Linked DNA regions of Astyanax mexicanus. The protein of the gene in region 4 binds, or shares a complex with, the protein of the main gene of each other region. Links are inferred from orthologs where the notes say so. Each region holds a gene or a part of one and is shown on either strand. Other genes may lie near its edges. The genes, in order: ncapd3, ncapg, ncaph and smc2.

Evidence for each region.
Region 1: the proteins of smc2 (region 4) and ncapd3 are in contact, whole or in part, in a cryo-EM structure (PDB 9F5W), measured with the Homo sapiens proteins. The link is inferred for Astyanax mexicanus from reciprocal best matches to the Homo sapiens genes SMC2 and NCAPD3. Residues at the interface, in NP_001036015.1 of Homo sapiens: Arg112, Ala122, Asn123, Asn124, Thr125, Arg126, Leu218, Lys222, Arg225, His229, Trp940, Asn942, Ala943, Glu944, Phe948, Arg981, Met985, Arg986; in NP_056076.1 of Homo sapiens: Asp31, Met72, Ile80, Pro127, Gly128, Ala131, Phe135, Pro137, Asp141, Lys235, Gln237, Gln240, Leu1121, Asn1196, Asn1200, Pro1203.
Region 2: smc2 (region 4) and ncapg share a complex: the UniProt entries of both Homo sapiens proteins name them as parts of the condensin complex. The link is inferred for Astyanax mexicanus from reciprocal best matches to the Homo sapiens genes SMC2 and NCAPG.
Region 3: smc2 (region 4) and ncaph share a complex: the UniProt entries of both Homo sapiens proteins name them as parts of the condensin complex. The link is inferred for Astyanax mexicanus from reciprocal best matches to the Homo sapiens genes SMC2 and NCAPH.

What each region holds. Positions count from the first base shown.
Region 1 is NC_064432.1:8,247,265-8,254,694, forward strand, and holds the start of ncapd3 (condensin-2 complex subunit D3), read right to left. Parts: upstream 3,006-7,430; 5' UTR 2,954-3,005; coding exon 2,902-2,953; intron 1-2,901. Other genes in the region: primpol (DNA-directed primase/polymerase protein), read left to right, coding at 6,183-6,365.
Region 2 is NC_064424.1:33,596,528-33,603,792, forward strand, and holds the start of ncapg (condensin complex subunit 3), read left to right. Parts: upstream 1-4,244; 5' UTR 4,245-4,319; intron 4,320-5,389; 5' UTR 5,390-5,403; coding exon 5,404-5,511; intron 5,512-5,867; coding exon 5,868-6,083; intron 6,084-6,172; coding exon 6,173-6,401; intron 6,402-6,499; coding exon 6,500-6,645; intron 6,646-6,777; coding exon 6,778-6,862; intron 6,863-7,265. UniProt on the Homo sapiens protein: Regulatory subunit of the condensin complex, a complex required for conversion of interphase chromatin into mitotic-like condense chromosomes.
Region 3 is NC_064429.1:6,691,532-6,698,609, forward strand, and holds the start of ncaph (condensin complex subunit 2), read left to right. Parts: upstream 1-4,075; 5' UTR 4,076-4,177; intron 4,178-7,078. UniProt on the Homo sapiens protein: Regulatory subunit of the condensin complex, a complex required for conversion of interphase chromatin into mitotic-like condense chromosomes.
Region 4 is NC_064432.1:23,820,391-23,828,054, forward strand, and holds the start of smc2 (structural maintenance of chromosomes protein 2), read left to right. Parts: upstream 1-4,642; 5' UTR 4,643-4,840; coding exon 4,841-5,008; intron 5,009-5,778; coding exon 5,779-5,928; intron 5,929-6,031; coding exon 6,032-6,154; intron 6,155-6,254; coding exon 6,255-6,293; intron 6,294-6,606; coding exon 6,607-6,717; intron 6,718-6,822; coding exon 6,823-6,867; intron 6,868-7,659; coding exon 7,660-7,664. Other genes in the region: exoc1l (exocyst complex component 1-like), read left to right, coding at 1,281-1,401, 1,636-1,799, 2,823-3,086. UniProt on the Homo sapiens protein: Central component of the condensin complex, a complex required for conversion of interphase chromatin into mitotic-like condense chromosomes.

The DNA.
Region 1 (7,430 bases), about 16 Mb from region 4:
TCGAAATGAGGTCATGGTCTCGAGTATCGAAGTCAAAAAGAGGATCGACGATCCCTCCCGCAAATAGCGCAGCGCGCTATGCAAATGGCCCGGCACCAACACAGCGCATCCTATTCATTTAATAGCGCAGCCCCGCCCTCAGTTCTGCTGTGTGAGAGACAGCTGCCTTTCAACCACTGAGGAGAAACTGAAAACGGATTTATAGAAATATAGACAGGGCTCTCAAGTTTTGAGTGTCGGCGGGAGTGTGATCACTGTTTTTTATCTGTCCAACGGGGGAGGGGGGGCGGGGGTTGGGCGCGCAGGTTTTGTATCTGTATCTGACGGAGGGGTGGGTGCGCGCAGGTGAGAGCGTGTGAACTCGCTGAAATGCGTGTGTTAGTGTGACTTGAGAACACTGACTATAGATCACAGTGAGGTGGATTAAAAATCTTAAACTTATAATTGACTACACCTGTTGCTTTCCACTGAATTAAAAAAACATTTTTCTCTCAGATAAAGTAAACACAAGCGTGTTTCTGACTAAAATAAAAGCTTTTCAGGAGAGATATAAGTTATGTGTAAATATTTATAAGACAATACCTGACAAAATCTGTTTTAATGACGTTAATAAACATCACTGTGACAGCGCTAGTCACAGTTTCACCACATCACTTATCTAACCAGCCTGTACTGATTTCTGCCCCCCAATAATGCTTTCAATAACCTCTAATAGCCTTTAATAGTCTTCAGTAGCCTTTAAAAGACTTACCTGGCGGCCGTGGTGTGTCCACTAAACTCCGTAGTTATAAACATCCTGAGGTTAGCAGCGCGCTAACTGACCTGTTTATAATGTAATCCGAGCAGTGCCTCCGTGTCGGCTGTTCTAACCTGCTGCTGTTAGCTGCTTGGGCTGAAAGATGAACTGTAGTGAGCTGTATTATCCGGTTAGTGGGGTTAAAACCTTTATTTGTTTACAGAAACAGTAAAAACGGACTGGCTGAGCTCTGTAGCCCGTGGCTGGGCTGTACTGAAGTAGTGAGCTGCGACTGCAGCTCCGACTAGTGGTTGGATGAAGAACTGCAGCTTCATGTAAGTGAGCAGTTTCACCATCCATCCACACACAGCTCTGATAAACTGCTTGTTTTAATAGTGCACACTGTTGCTACCAAAATAAGTCACTAGATGGCATTACCATATATATCTTAATAAATAATAATAATATTTATAATATTTATAATAATAATAATAATAATAATAATAAATATATTAAAATTTTATGAGGCATAAAATAATAACAAGAAAAAAAAACAAGAAAATCGAGAATCGAATCGAATCGTGACCCTCAAATCGAAAATGAAATCGAATCGAGGATTTAGAGAATCGTGACACCCCTAATTGCCATGAGAACACTGGCCAGTGTTCAACTAAAAAGAATTCATACTGTTTCTAAAAACTTGATTTATTGATTTGAATTAGCACTTAGACGGTATTAGTTTCTCAGGGGGACGTCTGTGAAAAATATTTAATACTTCTACTCAGTGATAAAACTCTTGTAGTTGTAAAAACAGGACGACCAGTGAGTTTTTAGGCTTTCTCGATCACATAACATCATGTTCAGTAGCTCCTCCATTTCCACTCTCCATGTTTTACATGCATCTCCGTGGAAACGAGCTCCCAAAATGTAACTACAGTGCGCGGCAGCGGACAAATAGCCATTTTATTAAACGCAAAGTGACAAAACTCAGATTTGCGTCCGGACGGGGCTAAAATTACCGGAGGGCCACGGAGTTCAGCGAAAAACAGTAGATACTTCAGCCTGTAATGTTCGCAGAGGACAGAGTCTGAGAAAACACATAGCTACATGGTCGTTCTGGACAGGAATAAAAATCACAGAGGACCCCCCCATAAACCAGAAAATGACCCCAGAACCCTCTGAGAAACTAATCCTGTCCAAATAGGGCTTTTATAAGACTCTCTACACATTTATACCATCCTGTAAGTTCCTCAAAGCATCCAAACACCACAAAGATCACATGATAATTACCAAAATATCAGTTGTTTATTTTTTCTACTACTTATTTCTGCTAAATGTATGAAACTGAAACCAAAACATAACTTTAATATGATTCGGAAATCAATTTTAAAATTGTCAATGATTTTTTATATCGCCAAAATTATCATTATCACAAAAAATTCCCTTAAATATTGTGATTATTATTTTAGAGCACTATCACTCACCCCCTACTAGTTATCAAACGCTAGTGAAATTCTTTCTGGAAGCTTCTATACGCAGTTAAAGATCAAATAAAAAGGTACATTCTCCAATTTAACTTCTGTGAAAACAGCAATAAACCTGTAGATTAATTCTATTAACTGCGATTAATCGCATTTGTTTTTCCACAGACGTAAATTATCATAGTGGATATTGAAATGTACATAAAAGAATGAACGTAAGAAATGTAAAATGCAATTGTATTTATATAAGTGGTGTCAATTAAAATTAATCAAATTCTATAAACCTCTCAACCCTATTCAGGACCCAGATATTCTTATTTATGCTTCGGTCAATTCATGAGTAACGTTACAAGTGAATTCTAAGCCAATTTTCGATTCTAAAAGACACATATTAATGCATTTTCTTAAAACAGTCTGTGGAGGGTAGAAAGATATTTATTGAACGAGAATAAAGGCTAACTAACGTTATTTAATTTAACTAACCCTAGCTAGGTAAGGTTAATGTTTTGGTTATCGTAAGTTAGATTAGCAACACCGGCAACCTAACCTAAGTAGGTTAGCTAGCTAATGAGCTACTTTCCGAACAAATGCGCTGTATTTTTTCGTATAAACTAAAGTACCTAATACTAAAGGTCTTAAACATTATTTTGTGTCCGCTCTCTTCATTATAAACGCATTAATTACCTGTAGAAACCGCGCTGAGTCTCAGCAGCTCCACGACCCGCATCAGCGCCATCTTTCATTTGAATCAACCCGCCAACCCGCCAACTGCTGCCGCCACAGCCGCTTTATAGCGAGCCTGCCCACTTTATTGCAGTAAAGGACTGCAAACCGCTAGGGGGAGCCCGCGAGTGAGTCAGAAATGAATGAGCGTGAATGGAGCTAAACGGCTAAAAACACAAATTAAAAATATTAACTAACTACTCCTCAGGGATATTTCTTAACAGTTTTATAGTAAATTAAAATACCTTACAAAAGCAGTAAAGAAAGCCTACTTTAATACTTTTATTTTGCTAAAGTAAACAGGTTTTAAGCCGTAAAGACGCTAGCGTTACTGCTATCGCTGTGAGCTGATTGGTTGGTGAGGTGAGGCGCGCTAGAGAGACGGTTTAAAAAGTGTATAACTGGAGTTTAAAATATTTTAAAATTATTTATACAGTGCTAAAACAATACATTTTGTGTTTTTTATATAAAATGAGGGCATTGTTTATTATAAAAATGATAAAACATTAATAAATTCTGATTTTTCTCATTTGCTCCATTAAAACCCATTCATTTTTGTCTCACTAGGGAGCGCCCCCTAGTGGCAAACACACTCTGAACACATGCTAAAGTGGGCAATCTCCTCTGTATACCTTCTCTGCTTCTCCTGCTGGGTGAGAGGGGCATGAATGATCTTCAATGTGCCCCTAAATCTTACCTCTTCTTTTACACTCAAAGATATTATCCGATATTAAAGAGGCACTAAACTCTAAAACATATTTTTTTCATTAATAGCTGAAATGTGTTCCTCTCAAGTAATTAAAACATACCACGTTATATGTTTAAAAGACTTAAAAAAAACGCTTGGGTGATATAGGCCTAAAATAATATCACAATATTTTAGGGTATTTTTGTAGTAACAATATATTTTTGGCAATATGACAATTTTTTTATTTAATCTCAGGAATATTATACTACAACAACTGAAGATACTACAAAAAGATTCATTTAAATGTAAATTAATATGTATAATTATAATAATTGTGTTAAGTTTGCCGTTTAGATCCATTCCCTCCCATTCATTTTGGTCTCCCTCGCTGGCTCCTTCTAGCGGCGCGCACTCACTATTCTCTGATGTAACGGCGGAGATGGGCGGTGTCCCAATAAACCCAAACCCAAGCGCTGTTGAGCTAGGGCACTTCTCTCTGTGTACTAGTGCACTAGCTGAAGGCTAGCCAGAGACAGAGAGACCACAGCGCACTAGATAGGGAGCGTAGTATAAGGAAGGGAGCTTCCTCCTCCAATCGGAACACAGCCGCAGCCCTAGCCGCGGAACAGCTGGGTTTCCCGGCGTGCCCCGCGGCCCCGCGAACATCAAAACAAACCGCGGCGGGTTTGAAAGTTTGGTTAGGAAGAAGCGAGGCGCTGAGAAAAGCGGAGAAACTGTAAAAACCGGGTTTTAGAGGATAAAGAATCGCGAGGACTGATTGGAACATGTGAAAAAGACTTTGGTTCGGTGAAAAGAGGCGTTTATAAGACTGTAAATCCTCAGGTTAACAGGTGAGTGTTCAATCTTTAGCTAAGCTAGCCTAGCTCAAGCTATCAAAAGTCCTGTTGCTTTAACGCCAGTTCTATAAACTAGTTCTCGCGAGATAATTAAGCCAACGCACAGTTACCTTGTAACTAATTAACGTTATCTCTCTTGACTCACAAGTATCAGGTCCAAAACAACTCTGCTAAACTCGCCAACTATTTAACTCAACTGTAACATTAATATTAGAGTTAACAAGAAAAGTGCATTTCCTGAAGAAAACACAGGATGGTTGCTATGTTGTTTCTAAGTGGTTGCTAGGCGCTTGCTATGGTGTCTGTGGTGTTTGCTAAGGTGTTGCTGCTAAGCAGTTGCTAGGTGGTTGCAAAGGTGTTGCTAAGCGGTTGCTTGGTAGTTGCTAAGATGTTGCCATGGTATCTGTGGTGGTTGCTACAGTTTTACTATTGTGTCTGTGGTGGTTACTAAGTAGTTGCTATGGTGTCTGTGGTGGTTGCTAAGTGGTTGCTATGTTGTTTCTAAGGTGTTGCTGTGGTGTTTGCTAAGCGGTTGCTAGGTTGTTGCTACGTGGTTGCTATGATGTCTGTGGTGGTTGCTAAGCTGTTTCAAGCAGTTGCTACGTGGTTGCTAAGGTGTTACTACTGTATCCATGGTGGTTGCTAAGTTGTTGCTAAGTGGTTGCTATGGTGTCTGGTGGTTGCTAAGGTGTTGCTGAGCAGGTTGTTGCTAAGGTGTTGCCATGGTATATGTATTGGTTGCTATGTAGTTGGTTGCTAAGGTGCTGCTAGGTGGTTGCTAAAGTGGTGCTATGGTATCGATGTTTGTTGCTATTTAGTTTCTTAGTGGTTGCTAAGTAATGTATTTACATAAATCGGATTATGTTTCCATGTGCATCCATGGTGGTTGCTAGGGTGTTGCTATGTTATCCGTGGTGGTTGCTATATTGTTTCTAAAGTGGTGCTAAGTGGTTGCTAAGGTTTTGCTATCTTGTTGGCGCTTGCTATGGTGTCTGGTGGTTGCTAACGTCTTGCTAAGCAGTTGCTAGGTGGTTGCTTAGGTGTTGGTGTGGTGTGCATGGTGGTTGCTATGGTGTCTGTGGTGGTTGCTAAAGTGTTGCTATGCGGTTGCTAGGTTGTTGCTAAGTTCTTGCTATGGTATCCATGTTGGTTGCTATGTAGTTTCTAAGCAGTTGCTTGGTGATTGTTAAGTTGTTGCTATGGTATTTATGTCGGTTTCTATGTAGTTTCTAAGGTGCTGCTAGGTGGTTGCTAAAGTGTTGCTATGGTATCCATGGTAGTTGCTTTGTTGTTTCTAAGGTGATGCTATGGTGTTGCTAAGAGGTTGGTAGGTGGTTGCTAAGTAATGTATTTACATAAATCGGATTACATGTTTCCATGTGCATCCATGGTGGTTGCTAGGGTGTTACTAGGTGGTTGCTATGATATCCGTGGTGGTTGCTAACGTGTTGCTAAGCAGTTGCTATATATATATATATATATATATATATATATATATATATATATATATATATATATATATATATAATATATATACATATATATATATATATATATATGTATATATATATATATATATATATATACATATATATATATATGTATATATATATATATATCATACTATATATTATAATATATATGTAATGTTTTTTTTTTTATTGTTTTGCAGGTGAATCTCCGGCTACAGTGTCAGGATGACGAAGGGAAAGTGGCTGGATAGAGTGAAGTCTGTAGAGCAGAGAGCTCAGTCCTTTCAATCTGCTCCTATTTGCTCTCCATATAAACCTCGCCTGTCTCGCCCGTGGCAGCCCTCTTCCGTCTGGAGGCTTTTCCCACGCCAGAGCGCCGCCATCGCCTTCAGCCAGCGCTGCAAACAGGTCATACAGCTGATTTCACTTCATAACTTCTAACCAATCAACTACTTGCAGAAATATTTAATAAAAATATACTGAATATTTAAGGCAGGGATTCTTAACAACCTTGGGGGTTGTGAATAGGGCTGGGTAATGTTTTTAAATTTTCAATACCGATGCGATACTTTGAATTCGATACTAAACCTCAGACAATACTTTTTCAGGACCTTTTTCTGATTTTTAAAAGAGAAAGAAAATACAAAAAACAACAATTATTTTTCATGCTACAGTAATAACATGTTGATACAGGGCTAAAGTTACTGCTCTTGATGTTTTTTTGCACCTCGTATACAGAGTTTTAGGGATAGGTTATGACTGAATGAGGATTTCGCATTCAGGACTGATTCTAGGCTCTTTGGGGAATGAGAGGAAAGTTTTTCCAAGCTGTGGAACAATTGTGTAATTCCATTCCTCTCTTTTTCTTAATAATTGGGAAAACTTTGGTCATTTGCTGTTGTTGTTCTATTTTACAGTAAGAAACAGCAGCAGGAGCTCCTTAGATAAAGCTGTTCTCATGTTTCTTCAAGTGGGACAAGCGTTTGACCTGACAAAGCTTATACTCTAAATCATTTTTCTCTAAGCATGTTGCTGTCTATTACTATATATTTTAAGACTTCCTTTTTGGAAATATATGTATAAAATTATGTTTCTTTCCTGATTGATTGTATTACCTGCTGTAAAACAAAAAATCTGCTTACAAATCTGCCAACCTAAATTAATATTATGAGGTCAAATCGAACCTCCTGCCAGAGATGATTTCAACGATAACAATAATAAGCAATATTTTGCATTATTTTAAAAAAAAAATTGTTGGTTAGTCACCATATTAACGAAAACTATATATTTAAGGCATTTTTTTGCTTGAAACACAAAAAAAACATTAAAATCACCATTGAAAATTTAAAACGGCACATATTTATTAAGCATTTATTAATTGTAAATATTATTAAATAAAAATAAATGTACATCCTATAAAGGGTTGAAAAGGGTTAAGAACCCCTGATTTAGGGCAACGCAACTTACTTGTAA
Region 2 (7,265 bases), on a different chromosome or scaffold from region 4:
CCTCTGTGTGCTGGGCCTGCATCTGGAAGAGAAGGAACTATTATAAAACACTAGGGCTGGGTGTCCTCACTGAATTACAGAATCAATTCGATGTTGCTAATGTTAGCTTCTCTAAAACTATGGCATGTTTTGAAACTGCTGGTCTAGTGCATGTGGAACAGTTGAAAGGTGGAAGGGAAAATGCTAACACTAAATTGTTCCTTAATGTGACTGAGCTATACATTTCCTAAAAATGTGTGCACAACTTCTCTTGCAGGCTCTAGTAACATTGAACAAGAGAAAAATATAAAGCTTGTCACTAAAATTAGCTTCTCTAAAACTACAGCATGTTTTGAAACTGCTGCTCTGTTGCATTTAAGTTGGAATGGTGGAATTGTTTCACAAGTCTAGCAGACTTTAGAAACTTTAAGTGAGAAAGAAAATTTGCTCGCCAACGTTAGCTTCTCTAAAACTACAATACAGATTGGAACTGCTGGTCTGAAACTGATGGCCTATAGCTGCAGTTGGCTCTCACGCTCTGCAGATAAATAAATAAAGACACACAAGAAAATGGGTTAATTTTAAATACTGATCTTGGTTTATATTATTTTTATCGGTTCAAAGTCTAAAAATGAATATATATACCCACCCCTATTAAACACAATCGGACATGTTTTATAAGCCTTTACAACCTGCAGGTTTAGCACACACTCATCATAAACTTGAACTTAGCACCATGTGTCACAGTTCAAGATGATGGCTCACCTTAATGTAAGCTGCTGTTTGGTCATAGCCTTGTTTAACTTTCTCTAAGAGCTCCAGGTTCGTCTGTAGAGGCTTCAAAGCAGTCTGGAGATTCATCTGCAATTAAACAGATCATTTTATGTGCTGTTAATTCTTCACCTTTAACAGCATTTGAACTACATGAACTTGGTGAGGGTCTCAAAAATCACTGTGAAAAATGCAGCTTAAGAGTTAGATCAACTTTTAATTTGGAGTATAGTTTATTTTATTTCATATTTCACACTGAAAAATGTATATAATAACTTACCTACTATATGTGGCTGTGTGCCCTTTGCTCTAAATGCATAGCCATTGACAGGCATCATAAAAGTTGTTTCCCTCACTTTAGCAGGATCATTTCAGAAATTAAGGAAAAATACAGACTTTACTTCTTGGAAGTAAAACAAGTGTAGTAAAGTTCCTACCTTTATGTTAGTCACAGCTTCATCTACTGAACAGAAGCTGTGATTTCTGTGCATCTGTGAGTCACGGCACAGCAAACACATAGCCTGCTGATCATCCAAACAGAAGAAGAGTTTGCGGTTCTCTTTGTGTAGACCGCAGACCTCCTCATACCCTGCTGAAGATTTCTGACTGGAGTTCTCCCCAGACCCTGCTGAAGCTTTCCGAATTCTGCTCTCAAGAAAAGCCTCACACACATTCTTCAAGGCAAGGTTACGAGGAGGAAGTTCTCTTGAGGATCTTCTTCTACACACTGGACATTCCCGAGATCCTTTAGTCTCCCAGAACTGCTGCAGACAGCTTTTACACACACTGTGGCTACAGGACAGCAGAACAGGATCCCTAAAGATATCACAGCATACAGGACATGAAAGCTCTTCTTCTGAAAGACTTTTTTTAGCAGCCATGTCTTTCAGCTGCTGTTATACTGTTCTTCTGTAATGACTCTGTATGTAATGATCAGATTAGCTCAGCGAAGTATCAGCTGCTGTAGCTCCTCCTCCAGAATGCAGAATAGATTAAGATCAGAGTGACAATAAAAGATTCAATTCCTCCAACAGGTAATAGGGCCTGTAAAGATATAGATACATAGCCAGGGCTGATACCCATTTTATACTCCTCAACCAGAATGTTGGCACAAAGCGAAGATGCTATTATGCTATCCTATTATACTCAGCAAATGGGGTCTTGGCACAAACAAAACACAGAAAGATCCTCATATTATACCAGGGAGTTGGCACAAGGAGCATGGGAAGATACTCATATTATACTTAGCAACCAGGGTGTTTGCAACCGGGGAGATACCTATAGTATACTCAGCATGGTTGCTGTTGTTGGCACACAGGAAGATAGCTATAGTATACTCAGCAACCGTGGTGTTGGCACACGGGGAGACACCTATAGTATAGTATACTCAGCAACCGGGGGGTTTACACTCGGGGAGATAACTATATTATATTCAGCAACCAGGTTGTTGGCACATGAGGAGATACCTATAGTATACTTAGCAACCGAGGTGTTGGCACAAGCAGATCGGGCAGATTCTCTCACATTTTACTTGGCAAGGAACGCGTCAGTCATTCTTAAAGATAGCGAGAGATTCTCCTGATCTGCTACCTTCCACTACCAGATCAGGATAATCTCTCACTATCTTTAAGAAACTCCTGAAGCGGAGCTCTTCAAACAGCACTTACTTAACACCTCTAACAAACTAACTATTTCTAACCTCATTTCCTTCTTCCCCTCCTCTACTCCTCTATCCCATTATTTCCCTTTGACCTCCTTTAGGCCCTGTCTAAAGATGTTTTTTACCTTTAACTTCTATTACTTTTGTACTTCACTATTGTAAGTCGCATTGGACAAAAGCGTCTGCCAAATGTAATGTAATGTAATGTATGAATAGTAACATATTGATGTCTGGAACAGTGAATAAATTAATTGTTTATTTCTCCTGATTTTGGAGAAGGTTTGTTTAGTATCATTACAATTTATACAATCATTACAATTATTTATACATTTATTCATGCACTGTATTAATATATTGTTAAAAAACTATTATAGATTACTTTGCAAATTATTTTTATTACTTAAATCTTAACCCTGCATTTCCGCGAGTGGGCGTGTCTTGGCATGGGTGGTAGGCATGCTGAAAAACTACACTATCCACTACTTTCTGCCAAGCTTTATTTTTCTCCAAACTGCTTCTGTATTTGTGCAAAAATGCATCATATAAAAAGGAAAGAGCAAAAACAGCGACTATAAGCGGCAGAACCACACTGTTGCAGACGTCCCAAGTCTCCTGTAAGTTTTGGGAGTCTACTGCATATCAGTAATAGTTCCCTGATGCCCGCAAGTCAGATAAAATCTCCCGGAATCTAGAATGAGTGGCCCAAGAGTGAATACAAACGCGCTCGCAGGCAACACAGACTTTTTTCCCCAATCGTGTGTGGAAAAGCGAGGGGCGCGAGAGAAAGGCACTCCCCTTGTGTGAATATTCATAAACAGTAGGGTTCTGATTGCCCTGTTCACTGCAAAGAGTCTGAAAGTCAGCCAATCAGTTTTTTGTGTGGACGGGCAGTGTTTTTTTTCGTCCTAGATGGGATGCATTCAGTGAGTAAAAAAAGGAGCATCATGACTCCCACCAAATTTCACCTCTGACAACTCTAAAGTATATTTATATCTGGTAAAAGTAAAAAAATAATGAAATTCTTGCCCGCTGTTCAGTTTGTAATAGTGATTTTAGCATTGTCCATGGGGGACTAAATGATTGCAAAAGGCTTGTTGAGGTGAGTTACTGGGAGTTATCGAGATGTCTGCTGTTGGGGATATAAGTGAATACGGTAGGAATGAAAAATTCACATAGCAGAAGGAGGGGAGATCAGGTCTTCTTGTCTGTGATTCGTCCGAAAAATTATTTGTTCGGCCAATTGGTGTAGAATGTCGCTTCACCGTGTCATAATTAATATGCATACATTCCATAAAGTTGTGCCCTCCTACAAATTGTGCCCTCTCATAGGAAATAAATAGTGTTCGCCTGTTGTCGCCTGCCACCCTGATTTCTATGATTTTACAAAGACTATTTTACCAAAGCTTTTTTGTTTTAACTGAATGTATGATTTTTATCTAATAATGTAATAGATATTTTAAGATAATTTCACACTTATGAATATTAGCTTCTTACATGTTAAAAGATGTGTAAAATGAACGTAACACCTATCACAAAATGGAATCATAGAAGAATGAATTAATCCTGATTTAAAAATAGCCTTTGACTTTTTTTATGGAAATGAAAACCTAAAACTTAGTTTATGAGTAAACAGCTATTGCTGCTTTTTCTCAACAATACCTTTTTATTCTTTATTTCTTCTCATTAGACTTTCAAAACGGTTAAACGTTCAGAAAAAGGAAAGCAGAAAAGTTTTAATCAGATAAAATTATTATAAAGCCATTTTTTCTCCGCTCTGTCGTCAGATTCTACACATCGCGAGATTTGGGTTTAAACGTAGAACTGTTGGAGATATCGCGAGAGTTGGGTTTGAAAAGCCGCGCCGTTTGAAGCTGAAGAGGGAAGGGGAACAGCAGTGCAGCGAAACGCAGTAAATATTCGTTTATTATCGATTAAATTGCCCATATTTATTTGGTTATTGCGCACTGGTAATGGGGTTTAACGGTGTGTGGATATAGTTTAATGTGCGTTTTAAAGCCTTTTAGCCTAAGGACGCCTCTTTTATTAACTACGTTAGAGAGCTAATGTTTGTTTGGGAGCCGCATTAGCATTAGCATCCCGCTAACGTTAACCTGACTAACTAACGTTAACGTTACTCTGTTAATGCTAATGTGAGTTTTCGTTGTTGGGGTTCATTTACGACTGGAGATGATTTATAATACACAATTTTTAAGTTTATTTCAAGGTTTTCCTGAAGATTATCTTATTTGTATCCAAGTTTAGCTGGCATGTTTAAAAAAGAATTGTCCCTTCCACCTTCTGCAGTTGCATTCGGGTGCCTGTGGCATTACTACTGTCACTTCTTCAGATTTTTATGGTATCAAGTAGTTTTATTGTCAATACTGCATATGTACACTACATACAGAGAATTGAAATTACGTTACTCTCCTTCCTAATTTTACAGTTAAAGTTACAGATAATAGATATAATAAAAGAGAATGGGAGACACTATGGGTACAATACAGCAGGGACACAAATAGACATACATGAGACAAAAACAAGGTGCAGTAGTTTGGGGGAGAAATAGGTATATAAATATAAGTAAAAAAAAAAAAGAAATAGATATGTAGTATAAAAGAGTGGGAGACACTAGACATTGTACTATATGTACAATACAACAAGACACAATAAACATACGTAAGACGGAAGACAATAGTGCAATATTGATGGTGATTGAGATGGAATGACAGTATAAATAGTATATAACAGTAGTGCAAATATGGTATATAGCTTAAGGCTGGTAAAGTGAATAAGTGCGTAAAGTACTTAAAGTTCACAGTTTTTGGGGAATGAAATGAAATGAGTGCGTTTTGTATATCAGTAGTGCAGGTATTGGGTGTGTAGTGCAAGTCCGGTTGGAAGGGACAAGTACTTTGTGTATTGTAATGACCTCTACAAATGATTCGCGAATAAACCAGCCTTCAACTGTGTTTTTATCAGGGATTTTGGTAACCATGACTGCAGACAACGAGCTGCAGATAAAGGACGCTTTCCAGCGAGCTCAGAAGGCCCACAACAACAAGGCCAAACTGGTGGCCAGTCTGAAGAACAGATATGTTAAGGTAAAGTTATGAAGCATAAAGAAAACCTGATGTTAACGACAAATTCTTTGGGTACTGGATACTTCAGCTGCTGACGTCTGTTTAAAGTCCACAAATAAATTAAATATGAGGTTCTCAGTTTTTATATAAGAAACTTTAATACAGTGGGGCACAAAACTTTTAAATGAATGCAGTTGTCTTATTCAGTCTCTTTATCATAGGTGTATATAATGTAATAGTTTGCCATGCAGTCTGTTGGTGCAATATTTTGCTTATAGATTACCATTTGTGGCATAAAATTATTTTTAATAATTTTGGGGAAACAATGTCAATTGTAGTGTTCATGCTGAAAAGTGTGTTTGTGTGTGTTTGTGTAGCTTGAAGATAAATCTGAGTTCCATGAGGAGTTCCTTCGCTGTATGAAGTATGCTATGATAATCTACACCAGAGAACCGGCTGTGGAGAATGTGATCGATTTTGTTGTGAAGTTCACTGTGAGCTTTGAAACCCCTGTGACTGAAGAAGAGGAAGTGGAGGATGATAGTGACGATGAGGGCTCATTTCTGAACTTCCTGCTCAACTTCTTGTTGGAGGTAATACTGAGGATTTTGTTTCACCAGGTCCGGATTAAGTTTTGGAAATTAATTTATCAATCAGTAATAATGTAAATTGCCCCCCACAGTCTCACACAGCGAGCAGTCATGCGGTGCGCTTCCGGGTCTGTCAGCTAATCAATAAGCTGCTGGGCAGTCTGAGTGAGAACGCTCAGATCGACGATGAGATCTGCGAACGGATCCACGAGGCCATGCTGATCAGAGTGACGGATAAATACCCAAACGTCCGGATTCAGGCAGCGCTTGCAATGGCTCGCCTGCAGGACCCGAATGACCCCGAGTGTCCCACCATTAAAGGTACACTTCCATCTAAACACCACCCCCACTCATAATGTATTCCACCATTAACAAATCTAGTACTAAGATTGAGTTTAAATTATGCTGTTTGTGTTTAGCTTACATGCTGCTGTTAGATAATGATTCTAATGCTGAGGTCCGACGGGCTGTCCTGTCCTGTATCGCTCCCTCCGCACAAACACTCGCCAAAATCTACAAACGTACACGAGACGTTAAAGACAAAGTCCGGAAACTGGCCTATCAGGTACACTGCATCAGAACTGACCATTCCTCTCGCCAAGCTCCGCCTTAGTGTCTATTGGAATACTTGTATTTATACATGTTATACATGGTGAAGTTAGAACATTATCTAAGTAAGATGTGTGTTTTGTTTCAGGTGATGGCTGAGAAAGTGCACATTCGGGCTTTAACCATCGCTCAGAGAGTCAGCCTGCTGCAGCAAGGCCTCAATGACTCAGCAGGTGGGTGTGGGTGGGTTTTAAATTATATGTATTTATTTATACATGTCTGTATAGTGTATTTGGATTGTTTGTGGTCACCCCTTCCGTTTAACTCATTCAGCTATGTTAGGCTACTCTAATTTGCACACTGCTTGTCCATTCCCTGTAAAGAAACTTCCAAGAGACTATGACTCTCTTTGAGCTGTCAGATCTTCTCACCAGTTCTCCGAAATCTTGTAAGAAAAAAAGTTCGCTTAGGACAGAAGACGGGTTCTCTGACAAAAGCATTTTTTAAAATATAAAATATCATTCATTTTAGATGAAACAATGAATTAGCATGTGTCCCAATACCTTTGTACGTATAAGGTATTTAAACCTTGAAAAATGAAGCTTTATTTAAATAATTTGATCTTTGAATTGTGTT
Region 3 (7,078 bases), on a different chromosome or scaffold from region 4:
ACAGTATGTGTGTGTGCTAATCTCATTAATGAAATCTCTGCTCCCACATTTAGTGCTGCACTGTCCTCCCAGCTTCTCTCTGCAGCAGGGGATTCGTGCTGCAATAATGACACATTATATATATATATTTATCAGCAGAACCAGAGAGCCTCCACTGGGAAACTCCTTTTTGAGCCAAGGTGCAGCAGAGCAGATAAACCCTGTTTGATGGAAAGAGGCGCTTTTTCCCCAGGAGCCTCTTTAGAACATTTACTCAGGTGAAGTTTGTGTTCAGTCTGTCAAACAGTAAATGTCTTTTTATCTCAGTGTTTCAGAATCTGGGAGTGATCCAGTGGTCTAAAGCGCTGCCACTATAATTGGGAGAACGCTGGTTTGAATTCCGGTCATGCGGCTTGGCATCAGCTGCCGGAGCCCTGAGAGAGCAAAGTTATCCTTTCTCTCTCTCTGGGTGGGTTAAGTAGATGGCACTCTTTCCCCTCATCACTCCTAGGGTGATGTAGATCAGCACAAGGCTGTGTCTGTGAGCTGATGTATCGGAAACCGTGTCGCTGCGCTTTCCTCCGAGCGTTAGCGCTGTGATGCTACTCAGCAATGCTACAGCATCAGCAGCATTTCAAAAGAGGTGGAGTCTTCACATCGTATCGGAGGAGGCATGTGCTTGTCTTCACGCCTCTGGTGTTGGGGCATCACTAGTGATAGGGGATATATAATAATATAAAACTGAGTACAGCTGTGGACTGAATACAGTGGGACAATTGATTATTAGAAATATTAGAAAAAAACTGAGCTTTATTCCATTTACCTCCGATAAATGCAAGGTTCTTAGATCTTGTACAGACTATACTTTATTATTATCCTCCTTTCACGCTGTTCTTCAATATTCAGGACCACACAGGAGAGAAAACCACCACAGAGCAGCTACTACTATTATTATTATCATTATAATTATTGGGGTGGTGGGTGGTTATTCTCAGCACTGTAGCGATTAGCACTGATTAGCATGGTGTTGTTGCCAGGTGGTTGCTTATAATGTCTGGTTCTGAGCTCCTCAGAAATCTCCTTTGTTCGTGCCATGATACACTTCCACAAACATGTTGTGAAGAGTAGACTTTGGATAGATTCCTGTTCTTTAAATAAAACAGGCTCTGCCCACTCACACCCAATTGATTGTCAACCCATTGATTAAAAACACCTTTTTGACTTTTTGGCTGCGTTCACATTACCAGGCTGAAGTGCCCCTTTTTTTTTTTTTTTTTTTTTTTTGCTCAATGTGGCTCAGTTTTTTTTTCTGATTTTTTCAAATCAGATTTGAGTCACTTTCATATGTGGTTCTAAATCAGATACATATCCGATTTATTGACATGCAACATGAATGTGAACAGCCAAATTGAAAATTTATGCATCATTTTGCTTTATGCATGGGCTATGTGCTTCTCTCTCATACCTACGCATCTTTCAGTGTAGCTATAGCTTCAAAAAAACAGCAAAAGCAAACCGCCTGGCCTTTTTTCACCTCCTAGACCTTAACCGTCAAGACAGCCAAATCTGATCTGAGCAAAAAATTGGATTTGAACAATGTGGCTTGCAATGTAAACGTAGCCTAAGTTTAGGTTTAGGTCAGTGTCATGTACTTGTCCTATTCCTTGTTCCTTGTGCTGTGCTTATGTGTTTCACATCGGTCAGGTTGCTTATGTTTTTTTGTTTTCTCTCTTAGCGTTTTACGTGTATCCCAATGTTCATTTTTGATGTATTTCTTGTTTGTTAGTAACTTGCATTTACGTTCTCCTTTTGTTTCTCCCTGCTGCACCCTGACAGATGTGGAACCCGCACAAGAATGAACACTGGAACATGGAAGCACAAGGATATCCATACACAGGGAAATAGGAAACACCTGGGGAAGGTAACGAGGAGGCAGAGTTACAAATGAACAGGTGGAAACACTGAGATGAAGACATAAGAGGAAACAGTACAGAAACAAAACAGAAACACAGAAAACAGACCAGAAAGCACAAGGAACAGAACAAAAGCATGTTTTATTGTTTGCTACGTAATTCCATATGTGTCCCTTAATTTTTTTTATGTCTTGAAATTAATCTACAATGTAAAAAATACATTAAATAATGAAATAAAGAAAATCATTAAATGAGAATGTGCATCCAAACTGGCACTGTATAATTTTATAATCAGTTCCTCTTCTACTTATGTTTCTTTTTAAAGTAACAAAATTGATTAGATGTGTGTGGTTTAAGATGGATGCAAACTCTAAACCTACGATCAGATTTTTTTTATGTTCATCTGGTGCAACTGGCATGTACCTCAGCTGATTATCTAAAGTGGATGTTTGGCAAAGCCAGAAAGATGGTTTGGCCGCCATCAATGACCTCCAGCGGACGTTAATGCGGCTAATAAAGCGAGCGAGGCCGAGAGTAGCTTGACTGTGAGGAAACAGAACATTAATGATGTATTTCTGGAGCTCTGTGATGCTGCTGACGCTCCGGCAGTGAGAGATAATTGGCTGCAGTTCAAGACCCCTTATTAATTCCTGACCTTGTAAAGTTTTCTTTGGCATTCAGCGGCAGAACTCCCGCAGTCGGGCTGATCGCACGGCTCCAACGCCCTGGTGTATCAGAGCGTGTGCAAGTCTGAGGAGGAGAGAGAGATCCGGTCAGTGTCTGAATCTGAACGTCTTCATTATTAGCTTTAAAGGGGGGCTCAATCATCAATAATCCACCAGCAGGTCCCTCAGATTGAGTCAAAGGTCTTGAATACAGGATTTGGCTCATTCTGAAGCAGTTAGATCATGCTGTACCCTGTTTATGGACTGGCACTAGTCCAGCAGAAACTCCTGCATTGTGCCCAATGATCCAGGTGAACTCCAGACCCAGTGTGACCCAGGACAGGCAGGAGGAAGCAGATAAGAACATGGATGGACGGATGGACAAATAGACAAATAGATGGAAATCATGCTCTGCAAGACATAAAGTGTGGAATCACATCATTACAGAGCATATTTTACATTACTCTACTGCCACCTAGTGGCATCTAAGACCTTCACACAGTCTCAGCCAGCACCCAGGTGGACATGATGGGCTCTTACTGAGGGTTTGTACATTGGTACATGTGTACTGTGTTGGTACTGATACCCTGTTAGGCTTCCCAAATGGACCCCAGCATTTTAGGACCATTTTACGCCATTATTGTAATTATAAGTAAATAACATAATAGTGCAATTATACATTGATTTTAAAGGGCAATGCACTTTAAGACAAATCAAATATTCAGGCCGTGTAAATAAATAATCTAAATAAATAAAACAAATACAATAAAACCACTGTTTTTAACCCTTAGATCGACCTTACACAAGTGGATCAAAAAAGACCAGTGTGTAGTAGCTTTCAGTTAGAATAACATAGAATAACAGAATCATTTGCATTTTGTCATTTACATTTTATTTTGGTCCACTCTTTTTGTACACATTGAACAACCTTCAGATTCAAATTACAGTACCAGTCAAAAGTTCGGACACATCTTAAATTATTTTTTCCCATTATTTAGTAAACAAAGTGTTAAAAAAACAAAAAACAAAATATGTTTTATATTTTAGATTCTTCATTGTAGCACCTCTTGCTTAGATGACAACTTTGCACATCTTGGCACATCATTCTCAGTGAGCTTTATGAGGTAGAGTCACGTGTAATTAAAGCTTTCAGTTAACAGCTGTGCTGATCTTTTCAAGAGTTAATTACTTGAATTTCTTGTCTCTTAATGTGTTTGAGAGCATCAGTTGTAAAGTTGTGAGGAGGTAGAGTTACAGGTATACAGTGAATAGCTCTATTTGAATAATGTTCCATAACATATTATGAAAAGCAAGAACTACTCAACTAATATTGAGTAATATTACATATCAAATGTAGATATTTTCACATTTTAAAACTTCGTAGCACGTTTAAGCACTTTTTTATCCAAAAACTGACCCGGGATCAGATTAAACAGCCTATTTAACTTACAGCCTTAAGTACATTCATATATCTTACATCTGATCCCAGGTCAGCTATCCGAAGCGCACGGCGTCGTACGTAATTACGTCACTAGCGACGCAGGACGTACGTAAACCGTTCGGCGCTAATTTTCAAACGGGAGCCGGAGAGCAGGAGTAGAGGACCGGAGCGTATTAAAGGTAAATTTGCCGATATTTTCAGTTTTGTTAGTGCTTTATATTCTGTTTTACGAGTTTATAGCGCTTTCTGAACTGTTTATATCCGCCGGTTTGGACTGGAGCAGCGCAGAAATCAAGTAAAAGCGAATTTGTTTGAGTTCGTTAGGAAGAAGTGATGTTTAATACAGGCTGTGTCCCAATAAGTGATGTGTGTCTACTAACCAGGGCGCTTAACGGCCGTTGTACTGCGCACTAGGTAGGCGTTTTAGGAAGAACACACGGGTGTTTATTGGAACACGAAGCGGCGATAGGTTTAACTTGCTAGCTTGATAGTTAGCTTAGCTTAGTTAAGCTGTTTAGCTCAACGCTTTCTTTTTTTAAAATAATTTATTATTTATTTATTGGAACACAAGTTGGCTCGCTAGCTTGATAGTTAGCTTAGTTAACCTTTCTAGCTAAACGTTTGTTTGAGGAAGATATCTAACGTTACTATCTAACGTTATGTTTTACAACTCGCTAAATTAAACACAGATTATATAACGTTAGTTAGTAAGTTAGTTGGGCAGTTTTATATCCGTTATTTATCCATCTTGGTGTCCTCCTTAATACATTAAAATTAAAAGTTATTTTAATATCGTTCTAAATTATATAGCTCAGTTAATTCATATGTTTTAGGCTTTTACTTCAGACCAATAATATTATAAAAGAGAAGAAAGCTGTCTGGTAGATTGTAGGCTAATGCATATGCTAACAGAGCCACTGCAATCCGTAAAATTAACATAATAAACTGCTAGAGTATTATCTTTGATATAAACATAATTAGCACAGGAAGTTAACAAAAATCTAGCTTTTTAATGTAAAATAAAACAAGATAATACTGTATTAATCCTACAGCTGGGCATTTTTTCATGTTGTAGCAGCTCGAAGAAATGAAAAGAAGTGTCAGCGAATTTATATACAGACAATATACAAAAGGTTCCTTTAGCACAGAAAGGGTAGCTAGCTAATGCTAGCATAGTAATATCTAGTTCTAATAACAGCTGAATGCAGCACTAATGAGCTGTTATATAAAATTAATTAAGACTCTGTCAAAGTAGAAAACAAGCATAGAAGAATTACCTTTTCTATTTTCATATTTTTTTTAGCTATGTTTTTTTTTTTTTAAACACAGGTTATCTAATCTAACTATATAGATAGACAGTCAATAGCTAGCTCATTTAGCACAGAAAGCTAGCACACTGCCAAAAGTTGGTAGTCCTGCTGGAAAATGAAATCTGCATCTCCATAAAAGTTGTCAGCAAAGGGGAGCATGAAGTGCTGTAAGATTTTGTGGGAAAACAAAACTGCACTGACTTTAGACTTGATAATAAAACACAGTGGATCAACACCAGCAGGTGACATGTCTCTCCAATATATCAAACCATCACTGATTGGTGGAAACGTCACACTAGACCTCGAGCAGTTTGGACTGTGTGTCTCTCCACTCTTCCTCCAGACTCTGCTCCCTTGATTTACAAATGAAATGTAACATTTACTGATGATCAGTGATGGTTTGGAGAGTCATGTCTGTCATCTGCTGGTGTTGATCCACTGTGTTCTATTATCAAGTCTAAAATCAGTGCAGTTTTGTTTTCCCACAAAATCTTACAGAATCACTTCATGCTTCCCCTTTGCTACTGACAACTTTTATGGAGATGCGGATTTCATTTTCCAGCAGGATTACCAACTTTTGGCAGTGTGCTAGCTTAACAAAATAACCAGCAGTGATAAAAGCTCACCTTAACTAAAAACTAAAAGCTTTCTGTGCTAAATGAGCTTGCTATTGACTGTCTAATTAATAGGGGTGTCACGATTCTCTAAATCCTCGATTCGATTTCATTTTCGATTTGAGGGTCACGATTCGATTCGATTCTCGATTTTCTTGTTTTTTTTTCTTGTTATTATTTTATGCCTCATAAAATTTAAATAATATATTTATTATTATTATTATTATTATTATTATTATTATTATAAATATTATAAATATTATTATTATTATTTATTAAGATATATATGGTAATGCCATCTAGTGACTTTTTTTGGTAGCAACAGTGTGCACTATTAAAACAAGCAGTTTATCAGAGCTGTGTGTGGATGGCTGGTGAAACTGCTCATTACATGAAGCTGCAGTTCTTCATCCAACCACTAGCAGCAGCAGCACAAGCCCCGCTCTCTTCACTCAGTCACTACTTCAGTACAGCCCAGCCACGGGCTACAGAGCTCAGCCAGTCCGTTTTTACTGTTTCTGTAAACAAATAAAGGTTTTAACCCCACTAACCGGATAATACAGCTCACTACAGTTCATCTTTCAGCCCAAGCAGCTAACAGCAGCAGGTTAGAACAGCCGACACGGAGTCACTGCTGGGATTACATTATAAACAGGTCAGTTAGCGCGCTGCTAACCTCAGGATGTTTATAACTACGGAGTTTAGTGGACACACCACGGCCGCCAGGTAAGTCTTTTAAAGGCTACTGAAGACTATTAAAGGCTATTAGAGTGTAACCCCTGGCTCCCAGGGGTTACAAGAGGTTATTGAAAGCATTATTGGGGGGCAGAAATCAGTACAGGCTGGTTAGATAAGTGATGTGGGTATTGTCTTATAAATATTTACACATAACTTATATCTCTCCTGAAAAGCTTTTATTTTAGTCAGAAACACGCTTGTGTTTACTTTATCTGAGAGAAAGATGTTTTTTTAATTCAATGGAAAGCAACAGGTGTAGTCAATTATAAGTTTAAGATTTTTAATCCACCTCACTGTAATCTATAGTCAGTGTTCTCAAGTCACACTGACACACGCATTTCAGCGAGTTCACACGCTCTCACCTGCGCGCACCCACCCCTCCGTCAGATACAGATACAAAACCTGCGCGCCCAACCCC
Region 4 (7,664 bases):
CCTATAACAGCAGAAAGTACAGATTTGTAGCATTTAACCAGCAACTAAACGTACATTATCACAATTCTGTATCACTGTACTAATAAATTACTAATAAGTTTCATTTGAAAGCCAGACAGGGTTGGACACATATTCAGTCGGTGATAATCTTTATAGTCTTTATCATTTTTATGGTATTATGGCTATTGTACCTCAATATAAGGTGCAGCTCCAGTGACAAGCTTTGTACTCTTTTTAGTTTCTACCATAAAGAAAAGCTCCAGCGTAAAGATCTGCTGGATTGCGACACAACCAAGAAGATCTTCAAGCCTAAATCAGTGATACCCTTCAGCGAGCTGATGTGTGTGTAGTGTAAGAGTGTGCAGGTAACAGGGTTACAGGTTGCTAACTTGTGACTCTGACTGGATTCCAGCTGGGAGGGAGAGAGAGAGGGAGGGAGGGGGGTGTCTTCTTCTTTTTCCCTTTTAAATAAATTGAAAGCACTTTAGCTGAGTCTCAGAGGATCAGCACTTCCCCTCACCACCAGCAGCCTAACAGACCCAAACCCGCTTACCTGGCGTCAGCTCGCTCACATCTAATGACAGCTGCAGAGGAAAATATCGATTATCTTTTTACAGAATAATAAGTGTGCGTGTGTGAGATGGATGCAGTGCGCATCTATGTGAATGAATTTTATAGACATAAATTATGCATTTCTAAATCAAACTCAAATTGAATATTTACGGTCGATAAAGTCTCTGAGTGGTCTCAGAGCAACTGGTCTTTAATTGCCTTTATAACAGATTTAAACTGAAAAGCCCTTTGGATCACTATTGATACCTTCAAAAGAGAGAGAGATAAAGAGAGAGAGAGAGGAAGAGAGGGAAAGGGAAGGATAAAGAGAGAGATGAGGGGAGATAGAGAGTAAAAGAGATATAGAGAGAAGCAAAGAGAGAGCGAAATAAAGGCAGTGGTGAGAGAGAGGGGGAGATAGAAGAGAGATATAGACGATGGAAAGAAGGAGTTAAGGAAAGAGAGAGAAAGATATAGAAAGTGAAATATAGAGAAAAGGAAAGAGAGAAAGACAGAAAATAAGAAAGAGGGAAATAGAGGGGGGTGAGACAGAGAAGAAGCAAGAGAGAGAGGAAGAAGGAAAGAGAGAGATATAGAGATAAGGAAAGAGAGAGTTAGTTTTCTCAGTTATCTGTTGGATCTTCATGTATTATTTGAATTGATTTTGGTATACTGATCATTGGTGTATTGATCACTGATATATTGATCAGTGGTGTACTGATTGAGAGATGTCCTCTCTGCTGAAAGAGGAGATGCAGAGGGTTCTGTTCGGACCGGAGGAGCACAGACTGGTGGAGTTTATCGAGATCGAAGAGAAGAAACGAGGACGGCATTTCCTCTGTGTATCCGGTAAGAATCTAACTAACAGACACATTTCACATAAATCACACAAAAATCTTTCAGTCCAGTATTTTAATCTGCTTGTATATAAGGTAAATCTTCATAGTAAGAAATCACCCAAAGTCTAATTATCTATTTGTATAAACTCAACATATGTGTGTTCTGTGTGTGCATATATATGTTGTGTGTGTGTATTGTATATATGTATATATGTTTGTGTATTATGTGTGTGTGTGTGTGCAGTATCTAAAGGTAAGGAGGTGCAGATCACAGTGGTTCGCTGTAGGAAATCTCAGAAGTCTGGGTATAAGAAAGCTCAGCGAATAGGATTGGAGGACAGCTATGTAAAGACGGAGGTCTGGGCTCTGCAGGAACTGAGGGTTCTGGATGGACGAGATCCTGATATAGTGAGTTAATGCCAGCACTGATTCATCAGCAGCTACACCATTACAGACCCCTGTATTCTTGGTTGGTGGGAAACTTGCAAATTCAGCAGCGTATCAAATATGTCTTTTTCCCCACTGTATGTGTCTTATTATAATAATTATATTTCCCCACCTTCCTGTATCTCCCAGATACAGTGGCTTGAAATAGTATTCATACCCCTTGAACCTTTCCACATTTTGTCACCTCACAACCACAAACTTAAATGTATTTTATTGCGATTTGACAAGTGATAGACAAACACAAAATGTTGCACAATAATACATTTTCTATTTTTGGATGATGAATTGTACAGTGCTCATTGGGATGTTCAAAGCTTGAGATATGTTTTTGTAAGCTAAACCTGCTTTAAATTTCTTCTCCACAACTTTATTTTCTGACCTGTCTGGTGAGTTCCTTGGTCTTCATGATACTGTTTGTTCACTCTTGTTCTCTAACAAACCACTGAGGCCTCAGTTACACACAGCTGTACTCTCTTAACTAATTAATTGACTCTGTTGCGCTGGATTGTATTTAGGGGTTTTAGAGTAAAGAGGGCTGGATACTTTTGCATCATACTTTTTTTATAATCATGTATCATTTTTTCATTCCACTTTGTGTTTGTCTTAAAATCAGTTAAAATCTCAATAAAATACATTTAATTTAAGTTTGTGGTTGTAAGGTGAAGAAATGTGGAAAAGTGTAAGTGTAAAAGGGTATGAATACTTTCGCAAGCCACTGTAAAACAAATCCACTGTAAATATTTCAAACACAGACAGTATCAAATAGTGTATAGTCAGGAATGTTCATACAGCTTTAAACTTAAATACAGCATTTGAAAACTGTATGGATTAAAGCCCTGCAGCACAGTGAGCTCACTGATTGGCTGAGAGGGCAGGGAAGCCGTATTGGTATAGCATGATTGATGGTGTCTGAAGGGCAGTTAAATTAAAACTGCATTTAAATTCACATCCTTCACTGTATGATCTCTCTGTTTCCTCCGGCAGGACGATCCCTGTTTCCTGATGCACTTTGATACAGTGCGTCCGGTGAAAGCGGTGAACTGTGCGGCGAAGTATTCCCTGGCCCGATGCCTCCTGGCTCTCAGTGAGACCCATCAGCACAGCGAGCTCCGCATCCACAACTTCGACTGGACCTACGTCCAGCCCACCTCCATCTACTCCAGCAGAGGCGACTGCATGGTCCTGATGAGGATCTGCTTCTACGCCTTTAACCTGGTGTGTCTCACGCTGTGTCCCGTACCTGTTTAGTCTCACTATTAACAGTATTTCTGAATCACCTGCAGCTGTTCTAACATCTCACACTCAGGTAAACACTGAACACCTCACTGCAGCTGACAGTCATTTCATCCTATTTCAAATCTCTTTTTTTTTTACAAATAAGTTGATTTTCATTTATATCACTGTTAACATTTTTTATGTACAATTGATTTTATTATGTTTACCTTGTAGACAGAATAACCTTATTATTTGCAGTGTTTTAAAAGCTACAAATAAAGTAAATAATACTTGTAAATGCTTGATGAATGTTTGAATATTGTGTTTTTATATTTTATTGTAACAATCCATTTGTCATGAGTATTATTTTCATAATAACTGCCTTTAATTCCCTTCATTAATACAGTATAGTCATGAAGTCTCCTTAATTATCTTGTTCCCATGTCTTATATATCTTGTTCCAATGCATTATCATATAATTCCCATGCCTTAATAAGTTGTGGTCATTTTTTTTAACAAAATGTTACATTAGGGGCTATGCACCTTAGCAAAAACATAATATGCATAGACGCCTCATCAACTAAGGCCGTCTATTGGAGCTGAAGTTCAGCGCGGCCGCCCCCAGTGCATTTATAAGTACTGAGGAAGGTGTTTAATAAAGCTATAATAATCAGCTATCATTACAAATATGTGCTTTCATGCTGAAATACGTTGTATTATGCTCTCTAACAAAGACAGACCTATGGTATGGCATATTAATAAGTGTATAAATAAATGTACTGTACGCCTTTATGCATATATATAAATAAAGTGTGTATTTATGTATTGTTCATATTTCAAATGAACAATAAAACTTGTTTTTTTGTTTACTTTGTGTATTTACTTCATGTATGCATGGCCCGGCTTTGAGGATCTGAAATTCATTTAATACAAACTGTAATAATTATAATAATAATAATAATAATAATAATAATAATAATAATAATACAATCTAACAATAAATAAAATAATACCTTTTTAAAGTCTGACAACTAGTGTCATAACATAACATAAAATTAAAAGTTGTATTATCAATTTATATTATTATTAAGGTGACGATGCTGGATTACGCTCCAGCCTGTAATGAGGCATCTATGTACAGCTCTGGAAAAAAAATAAGAGACCACTTAAAAATGATGAGTTTCTTTGATTTTACCAAATTGAAAACCTCTGGAATATAATCAAGAGGAAGATGGATGATCACAAGCCATCAAATCAAACTAAACTGCTTGAATTTTTGCACCAGGAGTAGTAAAGGCATAAAGTTGTTCAAAAGCAGTGTGTAAGACTGGTGGAGGAGAAAATGCCAATATGCATGAATATGAACTTTTCTTTGCATTGTTTGAGTTTTTTTCTGCAAATAAATGCTCTAAATGACAAAATTTTTATTTGGAATTTGGGAGAAATGTTGTCTGTAGTTTATAGAATAAAACAACAATGTTCATTTTACTCAAACATAAACCTATAAACAGCACAATCAGAGAAACTGATTCCGACCTGCAGGTGGCGGCACACTCCGGATATATCACTCACAGAGCGCAGCAGAGGAAGAGCGGGGGGGCGGTCTGGCGCCAAATTCAACATTTGAAGCTTTCCGGCGGTTATAGATCAGCGCTGCTGCTGCTGTCTGTTACTATCGATTATCTATCGATTATCTATCAGTTACTGTAGAGCGTCAGTTATAGAGTATAGAGTATCGGGGCGCGCAGTGAGCAGTACAGCGGGGTAGCGCGGACTTTACAGGAGAGATGTATATAAAGTCTATAGTGCTGGAGGGCTTCAAGTCCTACGCGGAGCGGACTGAGATCTCCGGCTTCGACCCGCTGTTTAACGCGATTACCGGACTGAACGGCAGCGGCAAGTCCAACATTCTAGACTCCATCTGTTTTCTGCTCGGAATCTCCAACTTATCGCAGGTAAAAACCGATTAAATACGGAGCCTGGGCTAACTGTGCTAGCGTTAGTTTATATGGCGACTTAGCAAGGCTAGCTAACTGAGCCAGCATTAGTTTATACGGAGAGTTAGCTAGGGTAGCTAACTGTGCTAGCTTTAGTTTATAGGGAGAGTTAGCTAGGCTAGGCTAACTGAGGCGGTGTTATTTTGTTTAGTGAGTTAGCTGGGTTGGCTTAATGAGCTATCGTTAGTTTCTATTGAATTAGCTAACTGAGCTAGCGTTAGTTTGTAGGTACAGTTAGCTAACTGAGCTAGCGTCATTTTATGTGGAGAGTTAGCTAGGTTTGCTAACTGAACTAGCGTAATTTTATGTGGAGAGTTAGCTAGGTTTGCTAACTGAGTTAGGGAAAGTTAGTTAGGCTAGTTAACTGAGCTTGCGTTAGTTTGTAGGGAGAATTAGCTAGGCTAGCTAACTGAGCTAGTGTTAGTTTATAGGGAAAGTTAGCTAGGTTATCTAACTGAGTTAGTCATTTTATAGTGAGGGTTAGCTTGGCTAACTAAGCTAGTTTTAGTTTATAGTGAGGGTTAGCTAGGCTACTACTGCTTATAGTAATAATACTAATATTGAATATATAGATGAAACAATCCCTAAATTATTAAAGTATTTGCTTCTTGTTGAAACTTGCGTTTTTTTGCTGTACCTTATATTTGACCGTATTGGGTTTTCATTACACATTATAGCTCTAATTTTACCTAAGCCTAATTAAATTATTATTGTTTTTATATCTGCAGGTCAGAGCGTCTAATCTTCAGGACCTGGTGTACAAAAATGGGCTCGCTGGAATCACTAAAGCCACAGTGTCCATTGTATTTGACAACTCCAACAAGAAAGAGAGCCCACTGGGGTTTGAAACCCACGATGAGATCACCATCACCAGACAGGTCAGCCTGCAGGCCTCTCTTTGCTTTATCTGTATTAGTGAAGCGTGTTGTGATAAGTCTGGTGTTTAATTCCTCCTTTGTGTGTGTGTGTGTGTGTGTGTAGGTGGTTATCGGTGGAAGGAATAAGTACCTCATTAATGGAGTGAATGCTAATAATATGCGAGTCCAGGATCTTTTCTGCTCAGTTGGATTGAATGTGAACAATCCTCATTTTCTTATTATGCAGGTATGTTTTTATGTTTTTTTTTTAAAGATATAGCTGGTGGAATAAATTATTATTAATTTACAGGATATTTCTGTTTTGGTAACTGTTGTTTTTCTTTTAGGGTCGAATCACCAAAGTTTTGAACATGAAACCACCAGAGGTAAGTGGTACCACGAGAGAGTTAATATTTTCCAACACTGGTTAATTGGGCCAAGAAACATTTGACCAAATACTGGATTTTTTTGCTATTTATTGTTTTGCAAAATTAAATAACAACATTTTTCTTTCTTACTTTATTAAAAATGTAATTGTTCTTAATGAATTAACAGTTTCTATGTTATTGTAATTGAATCATATAAAACATTTCAGGTGCTAAATAGTTGCTAAATAAGTATAAATCATCCCTGTTCGTGGTTTTGAAAACTGGTTTGTTATATAATTTATTCTTATGTAAATGTAATATTCTTGTGTAGATTCTGGCCATGATTGAGGAGGCTGCTGGTACCAGGATGTATGAGTGCAAGAAACTTAGCGCTCAGAAGACCATCGAGAAGAAAGATGCTAAACTGAAAGAGATTCAAACGGTACTTGTGTTTGTGTGTAGCGTGTGTGTTTGTGTACTGTGTGTAGTTTGTGTTTGTGTAGTATTTTATTGCTTATATAATGGATAAAATCTTCTTTAATCACAGATCCTGGAAGAGGAGATAACCCCTGCTATGGAGAAACTGAAAGAGGTCAGTCACAACACTCCCAGCACTACCAGTTTAGTAATATATTAAACCAGTTATTCTTAAACCAGTTATTCCCAGTTATTAGTTTGTCCATAAAGCTGAAATGTTTGGTCTGTTTATTTTCCACTAAATTCCTTTTGAATAATCTAAGTACATAAATTTAATGTAATTGGATTAATTTGGTATTTTTTTATATATATTTTTAAATGTTTTTCATTAATCTGATAATCCTAAAATGTTATACAAGGCATTTAAACACAAAATGGTCTTACATTATGGGAGGTTTTATTGTAAATTTTATTACATTTCTAACGTTGCTGCCTTCGCAGTTTAAACTGCAGTGATGCAGAGTCAGGGACACATATGGACAGGCAGTAAAATTAATGTGGGTAGCTGCATAGGGCGCTCGCACAGGCTAAGCCAAAGGCATGTTGAATCACCGTAGAGGTTTAAACTGCCTTAAGACCCCTCTGGAACTCTTCTCCGAGGCTTCGTTTTTCACTTCTAGAGTGTGACAGCACCAGTCACAATGAAAAGCTCCAGCCACAGCTTATATAGATGAACATGAATAGTAACTCAGGTACAGCAATAAGTCCCACTTTTACATGGGTCACATGATCAGTCGAGCGTGCAATGGAAACCATCTTACAATGTTGATACTTTTTCAATAAATTTAATTTCTGTCTGTTCTTTCGTTCCGTCTGGGTGGGATATTTATTATTATATGTATTATCATGGACGTGTAATCAGCTCTAAAGATTCAGCATCAGTTATTCACTGTTTTGTGTCCTACAGGAGCG